3 linked regions of the Macaca mulatta genome follow. The protein of the gene in region 2 purifies or fractionates together with the protein of the main gene of each other region. This does not show direct contact. Links are inferred from orthologs where the notes say so. Each region holds a gene or a part of one and is shown on either strand. Other genes may lie near its edges. The genes, in order: PRPF19, BCAS2 and CDC5L.

The links.
Region 1: the proteins of BCAS2 (region 2) and PRPF19 purify together in Homo sapiens (co-immunoprecipitation; 10 studies listed by BioGRID and IntAct, counting the BioPlex papers as one, with this or other methods). This does not show direct contact. The link is inferred for Macaca mulatta from reciprocal best matches to the Homo sapiens genes BCAS2 and PRPF19.
Region 3: the proteins of BCAS2 (region 2) and CDC5L purify together in Homo sapiens (co-immunoprecipitation; 8 studies listed by BioGRID and IntAct, with this or other methods). This does not show direct contact. The link is inferred for Macaca mulatta from reciprocal best matches to the Homo sapiens genes BCAS2 and CDC5L.

What each region holds. Positions count from the first base shown.
Region 1 is NC_133419.1:13,165,337-13,171,123, forward strand, and holds the start of PRPF19 (pre-mRNA-processing factor 19), read left to right. Parts: upstream 1-2,010; 5' UTR 2,011-2,211; coding exon 2,212-2,230; intron 2,231-3,143; exon of another isoform or gene 3,144-3,231; intron 3,232-4,691; coding exon 4,692-4,841; intron 4,842-5,017; coding exon 5,018-5,094; intron 5,095-5,675; coding exon 5,676-5,787. UniProt on the Homo sapiens protein: Ubiquitin-protein ligase which is a core component of several complexes mainly involved pre-mRNA splicing and DNA repair. Required for pre-mRNA splicing as component of the spliceosome.
Region 2 is NC_133406.1:125,681,823-125,686,125, reverse strand, and holds part of BCAS2 (pre-mRNA-splicing factor SPF27), read right to left. Parts: intron 2,382-4,303; coding exon 2,331-2,381; intron 1,397-2,330; coding exon 1,316-1,396; intron 1-1,315. UniProt on the Homo sapiens protein: Required for pre-mRNA splicing as component of the activated spliceosome. Component of the PRP19-CDC5L complex that forms an integral part of the spliceosome and is required for activating pre-mRNA splicing.
Region 3 is NC_133409.1:137,687,529-137,692,827, reverse strand, and holds part of CDC5L (cell division cycle 5-like protein), read left to right. Parts: intron 1-2,910; coding exon 2,911-3,073; intron 3,074-4,693; coding exon 4,694-4,858; intron 4,859-5,299.

The sequences.
Region 1 (5,787 bases), on a different chromosome or scaffold from region 2:
TGCCCTGTCTAAAGCAGCCATTCCTCCAATCCCCAGCACCTCTGTCTACTTTGCTCTGATTTGTTGCATTCATAGCACTACTACTCTGGAATTTTCTTCTTAAGTGTTGATTGTCTCTGTGCTCCCACCACTCCCAGTACAGTGTAAGCTCCAAAAGAGCAGAAACTGTGTCTTTCTTGTTGACCTTTTCTATCTCCAGTTTTTAGAATAGGGCTTGGCACATAGGAAGTACCCAATCAATATTTGTTGGATGAATGAAATGCCTGGGGAATAACATGAATCGATATTTCATTCAAAGCGGATCACTGGCTGCTCTGTGGAAAGTAGATTAGGAGGAGGAGGCCAGGCTGGAAGCAAGGAACAAGTGGCAAGCTACTTTGTTGGTGCAAGAGAGAGATGAAATGCCCTTTTGCATATTAACTCCTCATAAGAGTTCAGCGAGTTAGTTCTACCCCTGTCATCACTCCCTCTGTTTTACAGATGAGGAAACTAAGGCATAGAGAAGTTCATACAGTTAATCACCTGGGTGGTGCTAGGATTTGAGCACACAGTCTGACTTCAGAGTCCATGCTCTTGGCCACTATGCCATACTACCTTTTGTACCTGTAACTTTTATTTTTCTCTCCAAGCTTTTGCTTACATTGTTTCTCCTTCTGGAATGCCTTTCCTTCTCCTTCTCCTCTGAATACTGCCCACCTGTCAAAGTCCCTCTCACTCACACATCCTGTTCATCCTGCCCGTTTGTCTTGATACCTTATAGTCCACACCACATGTCTTTTGCATGATTCCTGAGAGTATCTTATCTTACAGATATCCACAAAGAATCATACACTATCTGAGCTGGAAGAGAAACAGAAAATACAAAATAAATTGATAAGAGGCCACTGGTTTGGACTGAGCTCTTGCGCTAGGCCTAACAGACCAAGCTAAAAAGAGTCCTGCCGAAGTTCCACCCCAATGAGCTGAAACTAAGATCTTTATGACCTTCTGAGAGAGAGTGTGTGTGTGCATGTGTGTTGGCGGGGAGAGCTAAATTCCCAAACAGGCAAGTTTTACATGGCATGATAAAGAAGTACCCTCCACTTTAACCTTTACAAGAAAAGTAATTTTGAGATTACCAAATGACCAATCCCATTTTTGTTCTGTTTCTGTTTTCCTCAGTCCTTTTCTGTCTAAAAAACCAAGCTCCCCTGTTCAGCTCATTGGAACAACCATTAGATTTTATAGTGTAAGGCGCTGCCCAATTTTATAGAATTGCACCCTAAGTCCCAGAGCTACTCTGGAGGCTGAGGCAGAAGGATCACTTGAGCCCAGGAGTTCCAGGATGCACCTGTGATAGCCATGATTGCTACGATTGCACCTGTGAATAGCCACTGCGTTCCAGCCTGGGCAACATTGCCAGAGTCCGTCTCTTAAAAACAAAAACAAAAACAAAACAAAACCAAAAAACAAAAACAAACAAAAAACTTTAAACTAAATTTGTTGTGATTTTGTCTTTTGACAAAGAAGAAAGGGCAGGGAAGCCAATGTGAATTGCCCCAAATCACAGAGCGAAACGGTAGTAGTCAGGACCAAAACGCTGTCTTAGCCGTTTTCTTAGTTCCTGTACCCATCTGCCTCTGTATTTTTAACACCAGGCCATCCAGCAGTGTCTCTTAAAGGGTGGCCCGAGAAACACCTGACTTAGAATAGCGTGGGGCGCAGTCTGTCTACGCAGATCCGAGGAATCTGCATTTTAACAATGGGAAATTGGGAAATTCTCGCGCACACCAAGGTTTCAAAGACCAGGGTCCCGTGACACAGTGCCGCACAGTTGTCAAAACAAGTGCTGTCCAATTGCTTTGGTTTTAAGTTCTCACTGCATCATGGGAAATGTAGTTTCGAGTCTCCTCTCTTCCGACGCCCCCGCCAATCCCCGGGCGCTTTACGGAACGAGCCGAGTCAATCCGGAAATAACCGAGTGTTCGTGGCGGGCCCTTTCCTGCCCGGCTGCATTCTGGGAAAGGTCTATTTCCGTTAGGTGCTGGAGGCAGTGGCGCGCGGCTGTCCCCATTCCCACGTGAAGCGCTACGCGAGCATCGCTCGACTGGCGGCTCCCAGCTCGCAGCTGAGCAGTCCCGGCAGCAGCGGGGGACCGGAAGTGGCTCGCGGAGGCTCAGAAGCCAGTCCCGGAGTCCGGCGTGTGGCGCCTGGGAGCGCGGCAACGGCGCCATGTCCCTAATCTGCTCCAGTGAGTGTTGCCTGCGGCCGAGCGCGGGTCGCAGGAGGCCGGAGAGCGGCGCGGGAGCGTGTGCGGGCCACTGCGGCGCCGGGGCCGGGGCCGGGGTGGAGGCGGGAATGGGGCGCTCCAGAGGCAGAGCGGCGGCCTGTCAGCCCCGGAGCCCTCCCCTCGGAGCGGGGTGCATTTGCGCAGTGCTCCGCAGTTTACATAGTGCCGGAGGTTTATTGTCGCAGGCATTACTGAGGCAGGTCGCCTCATTCTACCGAGTGGAAACAGGCCTGGACAGAGGGAGCTGGTGCAGGGGAAACAGCCTTGATGTAAGAGTCAGGAAACCCGAGGTCTTGTCCAGGGTCCGCCTCCTGTTGGCTTTGTGAATTGGCTTAAGGCTCTGTGCCTCGGTTTCCCCATCTGCAAAATTGAGAGCATTGCACTGGATATTTTGTGAGGCCTTGCTCGGATAGTCGCAGCTTTTGCAATTTGTAAAGGTCACATGATGAGTTAGAGGTAGGCAAGGCTGGCAGCTAGGTATATGGCTCCCAGCCTTACAGTGTATGACTAATTAAAAACAGCGCACATTTATAAAGCCCTTATTGGTTTACAACGCGCTTCCAAGTCTAGGATCTCATTTTATCCTCACAAGAATTCCCTAAAGGAGAAAAGATCCTGGTGTTGCAAATGAGGAGGCAAGGCTCAGGAAGAGCGGGGCTTATCTAAGAATGCGTAGCTAGTCAATGGCAGAGCTGGGTGACGTAGTTAGGTGACACGGAGTTTGGAGCCTGAATCCTTGCTTTTTCCATACCTTCCACTATCTTTCCCTTTGATATTTTATCATGACGTACATACGTTTTCCTTTCCCTTTTCGTTGTTTCATCAGATTACTCGTTTCCCCTCCCTTTTGCTATTCACCTCCGTCTCTTCTCAGAACCTGTACGTTGATCCAGAGAGGGGGAAGAAGGAAGGGAAATGATGGAAAAGGAATCCCTCACATTGAAGAAATTACAGCTCGCAAAGTACCTTCATATTCATTGTTTCCTTCCAGTCTTGGGAAAGCTCTCTTTTACGTTCCCCAGCACTATCTTTCCTGGCAGGGTTCACTCATTCGTTAGATGTTTACCGAGTGCCCCGGGGGCATCTGCATTGTACTGGAAGTGAGAGACCAGCTGTAATCCTTATCCTCAAGGGGCGCACAGTCTATGCAGGCAAGAGTGTAAATGATACCTCTATTGCGGGTTGTTGTGAACATGAATTACTGTACTGTATGCCTAGAATTGTGCTTGGCACATAGACATGTGCCATGTAAATATTTTTATTGTAATGATTGCCACTTTGCTCCTTGGAATCTTCCAGGTGATAAGTGTCTGCCTGTATCCTAATCAGTTGACTGGTAGCTGGCAGACGTCAATAGCTTCAGGATGGGGACTGGTCACCTAGAAAGACTAAAGGGTATTAGAAAGTTGGGATTTTCAGTCCTACCCCCCACTTACCTGGGGAACGAGAGGGGCTGAAGTTGTCACTAGTGACCAGTGATTTATTGAATCATGCCTTTGTAATGAAGTTTTCATAAAAATACAAAAGGGCAGGATTCAAAGAGCTTCTGTATAGCAGAACATGTGGGCGTTCCTGGAGGGTGGGGTGCCCAGGGAGGGCATGGGAAGCTCTGTACTCCTTCTCCCATACCTCATCCTATGCACCTCTTCATCTATACCCTTTGTAATATCCTTTATAATAAACTGGTCAACATAAGTGTTTCCCACAATTCTGTGAGTCACTGTTGAAAATTAATTGAACCCAAAAAGGGGGTCATGGGAACCCTGATTTACAGCTGGTAGATCAGAAGAACAGGTCAAACAACCTGGAGCTTGCGATTGGCATCTGAAGGGGTGGGGGAGTCTGGTGGGACTGAGACCTCAACCCGTGTGATCTGACACTATCTCCAGGTACCTGGTGTCAGAATTGAATTGGAGGACACCCGGATGGTCACATCTGAGGTCACAGAAGTATTTTGTTTTGTGAGAGAATAGGAGAAACTGAGTTTGTTATTCCTATATTCTCAGACTTTATGATTTCTTTGATAATCCCTCTGGAGCTATAGACTAAGATGGATGGAAGGGATTTGAATGGCTTCATGTGTGTCTCCATGTCATGGAGTAAACTGTATTCATAGAGTACACAATCATTGTTCAGATATTAGGTGGCGATAATGGACTGCTGTTCTCTAGGTGCTTGGCACATAGTAGTTGTTAATAATTATTTGTTGACTATCTGATTGTCAGGAGACTAAAGGAAAAGCTAGTTCCACAGCTGGAAAGCATTCTGGGGCCAGTACAGAACTGGCTTAGGGTCAGATGTCTTGCTTTTTGCTAGTTGATTGTGAGGATGCCTAGTCTTGTTGGGGCTAATAGCAGATGAGGAATCCTCTAGGCTCAAGATTGCCTTCACTCCAAGCTCACTGCCGGCCTTTTCTCTACAGTCTCTAATGAAGTGCCGGAGCACCCATGTGTGTCCCCTGTCTCTAATCATGTTTATGAGCGGCGGCTCATTGAGAAGTACATTGCAGAGAATGGTACCGACCCCATCAACAACCAGCCTCTCTCCGAGGAGCAGCTCATCGACATCAAAGGTGCCTATTGGCTGCCTTAGTCTAGGGCCATCTTAGCTCAGAGCCTGAGAGGATGGGAGGTGGTGCCAATGCACTGGAGGAGGAGATGGTGGGCTGTTTATGGCTAAAAGGAAAAGATGTGATGGCAGGGGAGGTCCCTGGGTTATGCTCTTCATACCTACTTTCCCTTTCGGCAGTTGCTCACCCAATCCGGCCCAAGCCTCCCTCAGCCACCAGCATCCCGGCCATTCTGAAAGCCTTGCAGGATGAGTGGGTGAGTTCCTGCAAGAGAATTAGCATCTTCCCCACTTGAAGAGAATGCATCGCTGAGTTAGGACTTGGGGGTGGGAAGGATGGAGAATTATTTAGATAATCATCATCAGGGTTTTGTGACATCAGGGTTTTGTTTTATTCTTTGTTGTATCCCCAGCACTGAGAGCGCCTGGTACGTAGTAGGTGCTCTAGAATTATGAACTGAATGATTGAATACATCCTGCAGGACTGTCTGGCACAGTGCCTGACACAAAGAGGGCAATCAATAAATAGCAGCAGCAGCAGTGTTGTTATCCACTTTTAGAGAGGTGACGGCATGACAGCTGGAATTTGCCAGTAAATTAGGGAAAGTAGGGATGGGAAAGAGCTGACTGCCACTCCTGTCTGTGTGCCCAGTGTTTGGCTTGGGGTAGGAGCTCAAGAGTGTCTGCTGGCATATTCATGGTGCTCGGATATTGTTTGGGTCACTGATACTGGTCTAGGCTGTGGGATAGGAGGCAGCATCCACTCCCCAAGAGCTGGCTCCACTGGGTGCTCCCTGCGCCCCCCGCCTCAGCTCACAGTAATATTTGCCTCTCCCAGGATGCAGTCATGCTGCACAGCTTCACTCTGCGCCAGCAGCTGCAGACAACCCGCCAAGAGTTGTCGCACGCTCTGTACCAGCACGATGCCGCCTGCCGTGTCATTGCCCGTC
Region 2 (4,303 bases):
TTAAAAAAAAATCAAGGCACAATTGTGGAAAAGTAGGTAAAGGGTACATGGAATCTGTATTCTTTCTTTCTTTCTTTTTTTTTTTTTTTTCCCAGAGATAGGGTCTTGCTCTGTTGACTAGGCTGGAATGCAGTGGTGTGATCACAGCTCACTGCAGCCTGGAACTCCTGAGCTCAAGCAATCCTTCCACCTTAGCCTCCCGAGGAGCTAAGACTACAGGTGCATGCCATCATGCCTGGGTTCATTTAAAAACATTTTTTTTTGTAGAGACAGGGTCTTGTTATGTTGCCCAGGCTCATCTTGAACTCCTGGCTTCAAGCAATCCTCCTACCTTGGCCTACCAAGGCACTAGGATTACAATGTGAGTCACCACACCTGGCTCTCTGTATTATTTCTTACAACTGCATGTGAATCTACAATTATCTCAAAAGTTCAACTAATAAAAAAGCAAATTAGAAACAGATGAGAGAACTTGTAAACCAGAAGAAATAGGAAAGAGTGATGAAGACAGTATCTAATTTAATCAACAAAAAGGAAAGAGGCAACAGTTTATTAAATTGAGGAAAAAACATGAAAGGGTACCAAAGAGACTGATAACACGTACATGGAGATGGTAGAACAAGGAGAATAACTTGAGTAATGAAGGGACAAAGGGAATGGGAAAGCAAAAAAGAAGAGAGAAATGACACAAATATTCAAGATACTGTATAAAGGCATACGTGTGTATGTAAAAGAACATTTTTTAAAATGTATAAACCTGAGGTACAAACAAATTATCAAGAAAAGTATGAAATCTCCCTGCCTACAATATTTTATAAAATTAATTTTTTTCCTTTTTTTTTTTAAGACGAGGTCTCACTCTGTTGCCCAGGCTGGAGTGCATTGGTGCGATTATGGCTCACTGCAGCTTCAACCTCCCAGGCTAAGCAATCCTCCTGCCTCAGCCTCCACAGTAGCTGGGACTACAGGCATGTGCCACTGTAGCTGGCTATTTTTTTTTTCCATTTAAAAGGAGAATAAAGGTAGAATTCTATTCAAGGCCAAAAATACTAGACTAAAAACAGGGTATTCTAAGACCAGAATCCTTTAGCAGTGGTTCAATTTAGCAAAGGATCCTTCACCAATGGTTCAATTCTCGTTTATAGTTCTCTTTAACACCTTACAGAAAGGCAGAGACAGTGAAGGGTGAATTCAGAAAACAGCATTTTCTTTGACACCTATGGCATCCCACATGAATGCTATTTGAATCATATTATTGAATCGACCTTAGACTGGGCTAAACAATTTAAAAGATGATGGAATTATAGATACTCACTTTGACTCCATTTCTCTCAATTTAGATCCAGCTGTGAGCTGCATGTTCTTTCTCTGCCAGTTTAAATCTTGAATATGTTTTCTGTAAAAAATTATACAACCTAATGACATTTTAATGTAAGACCAAAAATCAACAGAAAACTCTGTAACACAAGAGAATATCTTAATCCCATGAGAACAATATCATGTACAGTTATAGGCTAACTGTAGAAATTACCGTTCTTCTAATTATTTTTTGATTACAAGTTTCATAAAACATGCTCATTGTGAGAAATCACACACACACACACACACACGAGCACACACAGATTACAAGTCTCAAGTCCCTCTTCCCATGCATGTCTCCTTTTTCCTGATAACTCCTGTTGAGTTTTTGCTGGGTGTCCTTCCAGGCTTTCCTATATGTGTGTGTAGAAATCGGTCTTTTTTTTTTTTTTTGAGACGGAGTCTGGCTCTGTCACCCAGGCTGGAGTGCAGTGGCGCGATCTCGGCTCACTGCAAGCTCCGCCTCCCGGGTTCCCGCCATTCTCCTGCCTCAGCCTCCCGAGTAGCTGGGACTACAGGCGCCGCCACCATGCCTGGCTAATTTTTTTTGTATTTTTAGTGGAGACGGGGTTTCATTGTGTTAGCCAGGATGGTCTCGATCTCCTGACCTCGTGTTCCACCCGTCTCGGCCTCCCAAAGTGCTGGGATTACAGGCTTGAGCCACCGCGCCCGGCCGAAATCGGTCTTAAAAATCAGATTATATGTGTTATTCTCCAACTTTCTCCCCCTCTAAAAGCATCTTTCCATGTTTGCAGACTTGCAAGCTACAAGTGGCAGAGATGTTTTCAGACCTCAGGCCTATTACTCGTCTACTTAGGTAGGGCAAACCCAGTGCCAGATGTTGAACAAAGAGAGTGGATCAATTGTTTACTTTCACCTGGCTGCAGTCTCATTGCTTTCTTTTTCCTCCTATTTTCTATTCATTAAAGGTTCACTTAAAGTTCATTCTGTAATAGGAAAAAACAATTTACCTTAATTTCTGAAGTTCTTTCTGTGCGTGTTCAATCATATGAACTAGATTTCTGAAGGAAAAGAGGAAAATCAGATTTAAATACATTAAAATAGTACCAATTAAAAGTGAACTTTTTCAAGTTTTTTTGCTAAAAATCGTATTTCTGGAGCTCTGTGCCAAGAACTATGTTGGACACTCCATAATCAAGGACTATCACCCATGCTGGAATGCAGTGGTGTGATCATGGCTCACTGCAGCCTTCACCTCCCAAGATCAAGTAATCCTCCTGCCTCAGCCTCCCGAGGAGCCGCAATCCTCCCACCTTGGCTTCCCAAACTGCTGGAATTACCATGCCCTGCCTGATACTTTGAGTACTTAGGTTGCTTTTCTTATGAGACAGTCTCATTCTGTTGCCCAGGCTGGAGTGAAGTAGTGTGATCTCAGCTCACTGCAGCCTCTGCCTCCTGGTTCAAGCAATTCTCCTGCCTCAGCGTCCCAAGTAGCTGGGATTACAGGCGTGCACTGCCATGCCTTGCTAATTTTTGTATTTTTTTTTTTTTTTTAGCAGAGATGGGGTTTCACTACGTTGGCCAGGCTGGTCTTGAACTCCTGACCACAAGCAATCCATCCACCTCGGTCTCCCAAAGTGCTGGGATTACAGGCGTGAGCCACTGCACCTGGCTTTTTTTTTTTTGGACAGAGTCTTGCTCTACTGTTGCCCAAGCTGGAGTGTAGCTGCATAATCATGGCAGCCTCAACCTCCTGGGCTCAATCGATCCTCCCACTTCAGGCCTTCAAAGTAGTTCGGATTACAGGCATAAGCCACCATGCCCGGCTAATTTTTGTTATTTTTTTGTAGAGACAGGGTTTCACCGTGTTGTCTGGGCTGGTCTTGAACTCCTGGGCTCAAGCAGTCTCCCCACCTTGGCCTTCAAAGTGTTGGAATTACATGCGTGAGACATCACACACAGTCTTTTGTCACTTCTTTAACTGTCATGACTTCTTGTCACAGAGAAGATGGAATATATCTGATTATATCCACTTATTATTTCTCAACCCCCTTTTATCTCTATATTTCTTCATATACATTTATCCTGTCATTCTCTCCTCCTGTCCACTGCTAACTAGAGAGAGGTGAGAAAAAGAAAACTGTTGTAGATTTGAGATATCAGTCCATATTTGCATGTAACCTATTCGCAGCAAAATAAAAAACAGATACCAGTCCAGGTCAGCTGTAACTAGCACAGGAGAAAAGTTCAATAATACAGGGTACCATATAATTATTTCAGAGAAGTAATAAAACAGATTTGAATCTTTTTTAAGTTTAAGTAACAGCTTTATTGAGATATAATTCCACATCATATCAATTTCCTCTTAAGGCAGTGGATCAATCACCTATAGGGTCCATTTTAACCACATCTGGCCCTAATGTGTTCTTGCTCTAAATCTAATATTGTTTCCTGGCTTTTGTGACTCAAATTTTCTGCTGTTCACCTGAGTTATTCTCCTATCTCTACTGACTGGTTTCCCTGCATTAGTTGGAATTCTCTCAAGACTCAGTCTTTAAACAGCTGTGCCTCTCTAGGCTTTCCCTCAGGTCAACCCTCTTTCCTTGACTTCGACGATCACTCCATGCTGAGGACTATTGATTTTAGTGCTCTATTCCAGACTCTGCCCACCAACAAGGGAGCTTTCCTTTGAATTGGCTCTCCCTGAAAGTTTAGTTTGTCTTCTCCCTTCTCCCACCCTTCCTCTTAAATATACTTTGATAAAATATAGTACACCTCCTCTGGAGAAGTGTCCATTGAATTTGGAGGAGACAAAATATGCTCAGGGGAATGTTAAGCACTATAGAGCACTTTGTGATTAAATGGAAAACAAGTGATGTGCACAGTAATTCTGTGTAGAGTTACTCAGAAGAGGGAGACAATACTAGAAGCAGAATTTCAATCAGGGAAGAAGACAAGTAAGCGAACTAGAGCTGGGCCCTAA
Region 3 (5,299 bases), on a different chromosome or scaffold from region 2:
TAATAAATGATAGTGTCTGGGAAATGGTTAAATACTGTGGAGTGCCTCTCCCTTTTTTTTTTTTAAAGATGGAGTCTCGCTCTGCCACCCAGGCTGGAGTGCAGTAGCACGATCTCAGCTTACGGAACCTATCTGCCTCCCGGGTTCAAGCGATTCTCATGCCTCAGCCTCCCAAGTAGCTGGGATTACAGGCGTCTGCCACCACACCTGTCTAATTGGAGTGTCCTTTTGCAAAACTTCGGATCCTATCACGTTATTTTTGAATACTTTGTGTTTGATTTTAGAGTAGATTGATTCATTTTTAATGATTACTTTGTGAATTTTATTAAAATTGTAATCCTTTTATGTATTGCTTTCCCTCCAGCATTTTATTATGAAAATTTCAGGCATTTAGAAAGGTTGAAAGAATGTGTGGAAGTTATCAGTATTGAAATGGAGTCACTTAATGTTACATTTTAATGAAAAAGGAACCCTCATGCATATATGCCCATGACAGAAATTATTCCAGGGATCTTCTGAAAACCACACAAATTCCAGATAAGTTGCTTCTGTGAAGATGTTGCCCTACCAACAGCCAGTACAGGTTGAGCATCCCAAATCTGAAAATCCAGAAGGCTCCAAAATCCAAATTTTTTTTTTTTGAGACGGAGTTTCGCTCTTGTTGCCCAGACTAGAGTGCAATGGTGTGAACTTGGCTCATCACAACCTCTGCCTCCTAGGTTCAAGCAATTCTCCTGCCTCGGGCTCCCGAGTAGCTGGGATTACAGTCTTGCGCCGCTGTGCCCGGCTAATTTTGTATTTTTAGTAGAGATGGGGTTTCTCCATGATGGTCAGGCTGGTCTCGAACTCCTGACCTCAGGTAATCCACCCACCTCAGCCTCCCAAAGTGCTGGCATTACAGGTTTGAGCCACTGTGCCCGGCCTAAATCCAGACTTTTTGAGCACCAATATGACACTCAAAGGAAATGCGCATTGAAACGTTTCAGATTTCAAATTTCCTGATTTGCCATGCTCAACCAGTAAGTATAATGGAATTATCCCCAAATCTGAAAAAAAATCCCGTATCTAAAACTCTTCTGGTCCCCCATTTCAGATAAAGGATACTGTTATGTATACCGGCAATGAAAACAAATGCCACCTCCTGTGATTAAGTCCCTGTAACCAATGGTCTTTGTTTCAAAACAGTTTACGTAGACTCCTCCCTTGTATCTTTAAAAACTTCTCCTTGCCCCAGCACTCTCAGGTATACCTATGGTCTGTTATAGCACACATATCCCACATTGTAATCCCTTGCTGTTCCCAAATAAACTCTGTTTTGGAGACCCAGTCTCTCACCTGTTGAAGTTGACAAATGGTAAAGTGAACATCCATATACCTACCACTTAGATTCTAAGATCGTTAATATTTTACTGTATCTGCTTTATTGCATATCCATCCACCAATCCATCATATTTTTTAATGAGTTTCAAAGTAACTTGCAGATATCAGTTTGCTTGATCCCTAAACACTTCCACATGCATTAACTGGAATTCAGTATTTCTTTATAACTCTTTTGCTTAGTTTTAAGCTGCTGTTTTTTAAGAAGAATCTTTAAAATACAAATGTTATGGAAGCATGTAGTAGTAAAATGGAATTGGAACTTACAGTGGTTGGATATATTTGGGGTTTACTTTGAATTTTAAGTGTTAAGATATGTCCTCCTACTGGTTATTTAGTAGAGAAAGCACTTCAGGCTATTACAGGTGTCATGACAGCAGAACCAAGAAGCATTGACAGCCAGTCGTAGACATTTAACACTTCTTGAGTGTCTTATAAGAGAGCCTAATACCTCACTTCCTATGTTTAGTTGGCCCTCTGTATCTGAGGGTTCCACATTTGTGGATTCAACCAACTGTGGATAAAAAATATTCTAAAAAACTCAGTACAACAATAAAAAATAACACAAATAAAAATACAATATAACAACAATTTATATAGCGTTTACATTGTATTGGGTATTATAAGTAACCTAGAGATGATTTAAAAGTACATGGGAAGGTGTGCATACGTTATATGCAAATACGATGCCGTTTTGTATCAGGGACTTGAGTGTCTGCAGATTTTGGTCCTGGAACTAATCCGCCGATCCCCTGTGAATACTTAGGGACAACTGTATGTCTTGTCTCTCACCTCGATTGTAAAATCCTTGGGGGCGGGAACCATGTCTTATGTGATAACACCTTACTTACCAGGAATAGCTGTCTGGCAGCGTCACCATTCTGCAACACACCAATATACAGGAAATAGGCAACCAGGGGAAAAAAAGGCTTTGAATATTTAAAGTATAGGTTGCTGCAGATTCTGTGGATCTTATTCCTAGGAGAATCTCTTAGGCCTCCCTCAGGAACTTACTCATGTTTACATGTGATTCCAAAAGTGTGGTGTTTGGTTTCTAAACAAAATGTAAAAGGAGGAACTATTTAAAGTGTGTACTTTGGTAATAATGACAGTGACAATGATGTGAGAACCAACAGCTTGATAGGGAGGGTAGGAGACAAATATACACCAAACTCGAAGAGTCATCTGGGGTCATTGAGTGTGGTGGCCCACCTCCCTGCCCGCTGCATGTTCCTAGCCGCCCTAATGTGCCAAGAAAAAGTGGAAATAATGTTTAGTGGGCGCAGTTTAGGAAGGCAAGAAAATATCAAATATAGTGATTATTTTAAGTCAATAAAATAAAAATACCATGCTAGCTAGACCAAACATTGATTTTAACCTAGAGATCCTAACAAAACCAGCTAGACAGAATTTCTGAAATCTTTATTCCTTTTTTTTCTATATTTCCTGTGAAATAATTTATGTGAAAAACATTTGAAAGCACAATCTAAATATAAGTGGCACTTCTGTTAATTGGGATTCCTGTCTTTCTAGGACTCCTTCTAATGGAGCTGAAGGGCTGACTCCCCGGAGTGGAACAACTCCCAAACCGGTTATTAACTCTACCCCGGGTAGAACTCCTCTTCGAGACAAGTTAAACATTAATCCTGAGGATGGAATGGCAGACTATAGTGATCCCTCTTATGTGAAGCAGATGGTAAATGTCAATTCCCTTTTAATACTCTTAAATTTTTTTTTAATATCTCATGGGTGCCAAATTAAAATTTCTCCTGTTAGTGCATATCACGTATACCTTAAGAATCTATACACCTGTGGATGCCAGAAAAAGAGAATGATCTGTAAGACTTGATGAAAGGGAATATTTTGGGCTCAAAACCCATCTTTCTTTATGCTTACTAGGTTTGTGAATATTGATGCTTGTTGTTGATTTCACTGAAGTTTTCTTCAGCAAGGTGAGGTAGAAAGCTAATTGTAAAAGTTAAGTTTTGCTTCTGCCCGTGTTATTGCATTTATTACTTTGCTATTGGGCCTTATTACCTAATGCCACATAAATCATTGTGAAATTAAAAAGAAAAAAACTTCTAATTATACTGGCTTGTCTTCAGTTTAAAATTAATTCTAACTTCATATATATATTTGGTTGATTTATGTATGTTTCTTAAAGTTCAAATTGATATCAACTAAAGCCAACTCTGAATGGATACATAAGAATTAAACAGATTAAGAACCTCATGAGTGCGGAGTGTGCATTTGGACATTTGAGGGGATCTAAAGTTGAATATAGATGTCCTTTGTCCTGAGGAAATTTATATTCTGGGGAGATTGGCAGTACTAAACTAAGTCCAAAAATAATTGTAATATCAGAACAGAATAAGCCCTTTGAGTAAAGCCAATGTGCTTAGGGTAGTTAAAGAAGGGAATAATCACATTTGTTGGGTAACAGGAAAGCCTTATTGGAAGAGGTATGTTCCGAAGGAGGGTGGGGGCTGTCCCAGATGGAGACTACAATATGAGTAAGCACGGAGGATGTTTTAGACATAGCAACTCATCTGTTCCTCACACCTGGTACATGTCAGTACTGAGGATGGACTGGAAAACCTCTGGGTACCAGGAGGGTTTTTTGGGAACCAGGACTCTACTTTCTTTCGTCTGCATGGGATTTAGTATTTTTATTAACAATAAACATATACATACAAATTCAAGTATCTTTCAGAGTGGGTTTTATTAGTCCAAGGACAGACTAACTTTTGAACCTGTTCTTTTCATTTGCTGTTAACTTTCGGTGTCAGAAATGTGTTCCCTCAAATGAAAATTATAGTGGTCTTTTTTTCTGCCCTGGCCTCAAACCTCCTGTTGGAATATCCCAGAGTATCTTCAGTGATCACAAGTGAAAGTGTTTGATTGGTCTTAATGTTGGGAAGAAGAGGGGATAGAAAATAAACAAAAGCCTTGTCTTAGCTCTGAAGTCAGGATTATTTTTCTAGAATTAATATTAGGCTGATTTTTTTTGAGACTTTTTTTTCTCTGTCTATAATTTTTAATTTTTGTGGATACGTAGTAGGTGTATATGTTTATGGGGTATATGAGATATCTTGATACAGGCATGCATGTGTAATAATCACACCATGGAAAATGGGGTATGCATCCCCTCAAGCATTTAACCTTTGTGTTAGAAACCATCCAATTATTCTCTTAGTTATTTTAAATTGTACAGTTATTTTGACTAGACTGTTGTGCTATCAATTTTTAAGACTCATAAAATTCTGGTTGAATATTTAATATGCATGAATTGAGAAGGACCACTTCTTTTCTACAGGAAAGAGAATCTCGAGAACATCTCCGTTTAGGGTTGTTGGGCCTTCCTGCCCCTAAGAATGATTTTGAAATTGTTCTACCAGAAAATGCCGAGAAGGAGCTGGAAGAACGTGAAGTAGATGATACTTACATTGAAGATGCTGCCGATGTGGATGCTCGAAAGCAGGTGGGTAACTGTACTGAAAGAAGCGTGAGTTCGGCTGAATGTGTCAGTAGGCTCGAAGAATGAAGAACAGCCATTAAATGTCTCAAGATCTCTACCTAGTTCTTTTTAATATTGAAAAAACTTCTGAAGTAAATAATTTATGTCATTAATAATGTATCCTCACATAATTAATATACTCACAATATTTTGATGGACATTCTTAAAAATACATATATGGAAATTTAAATACATTTTGTCAAATTCATTATGCTTCTCTAAAATACACGTAGGTAGTCTTTTGGACATTGCTTCAATCTAGCAAAGAAAAGATGTTATCGGTTAGTCTTAAAAACAAATACATCTTGGTTTTTGGGTGGTACGATGGTACGAGCCTGTAGTCTCAGCTACTCAGGAGGCTAAGGTGGGAGGATCCTTTGGGCCCAGGAGTTTGAATCCAGTCCA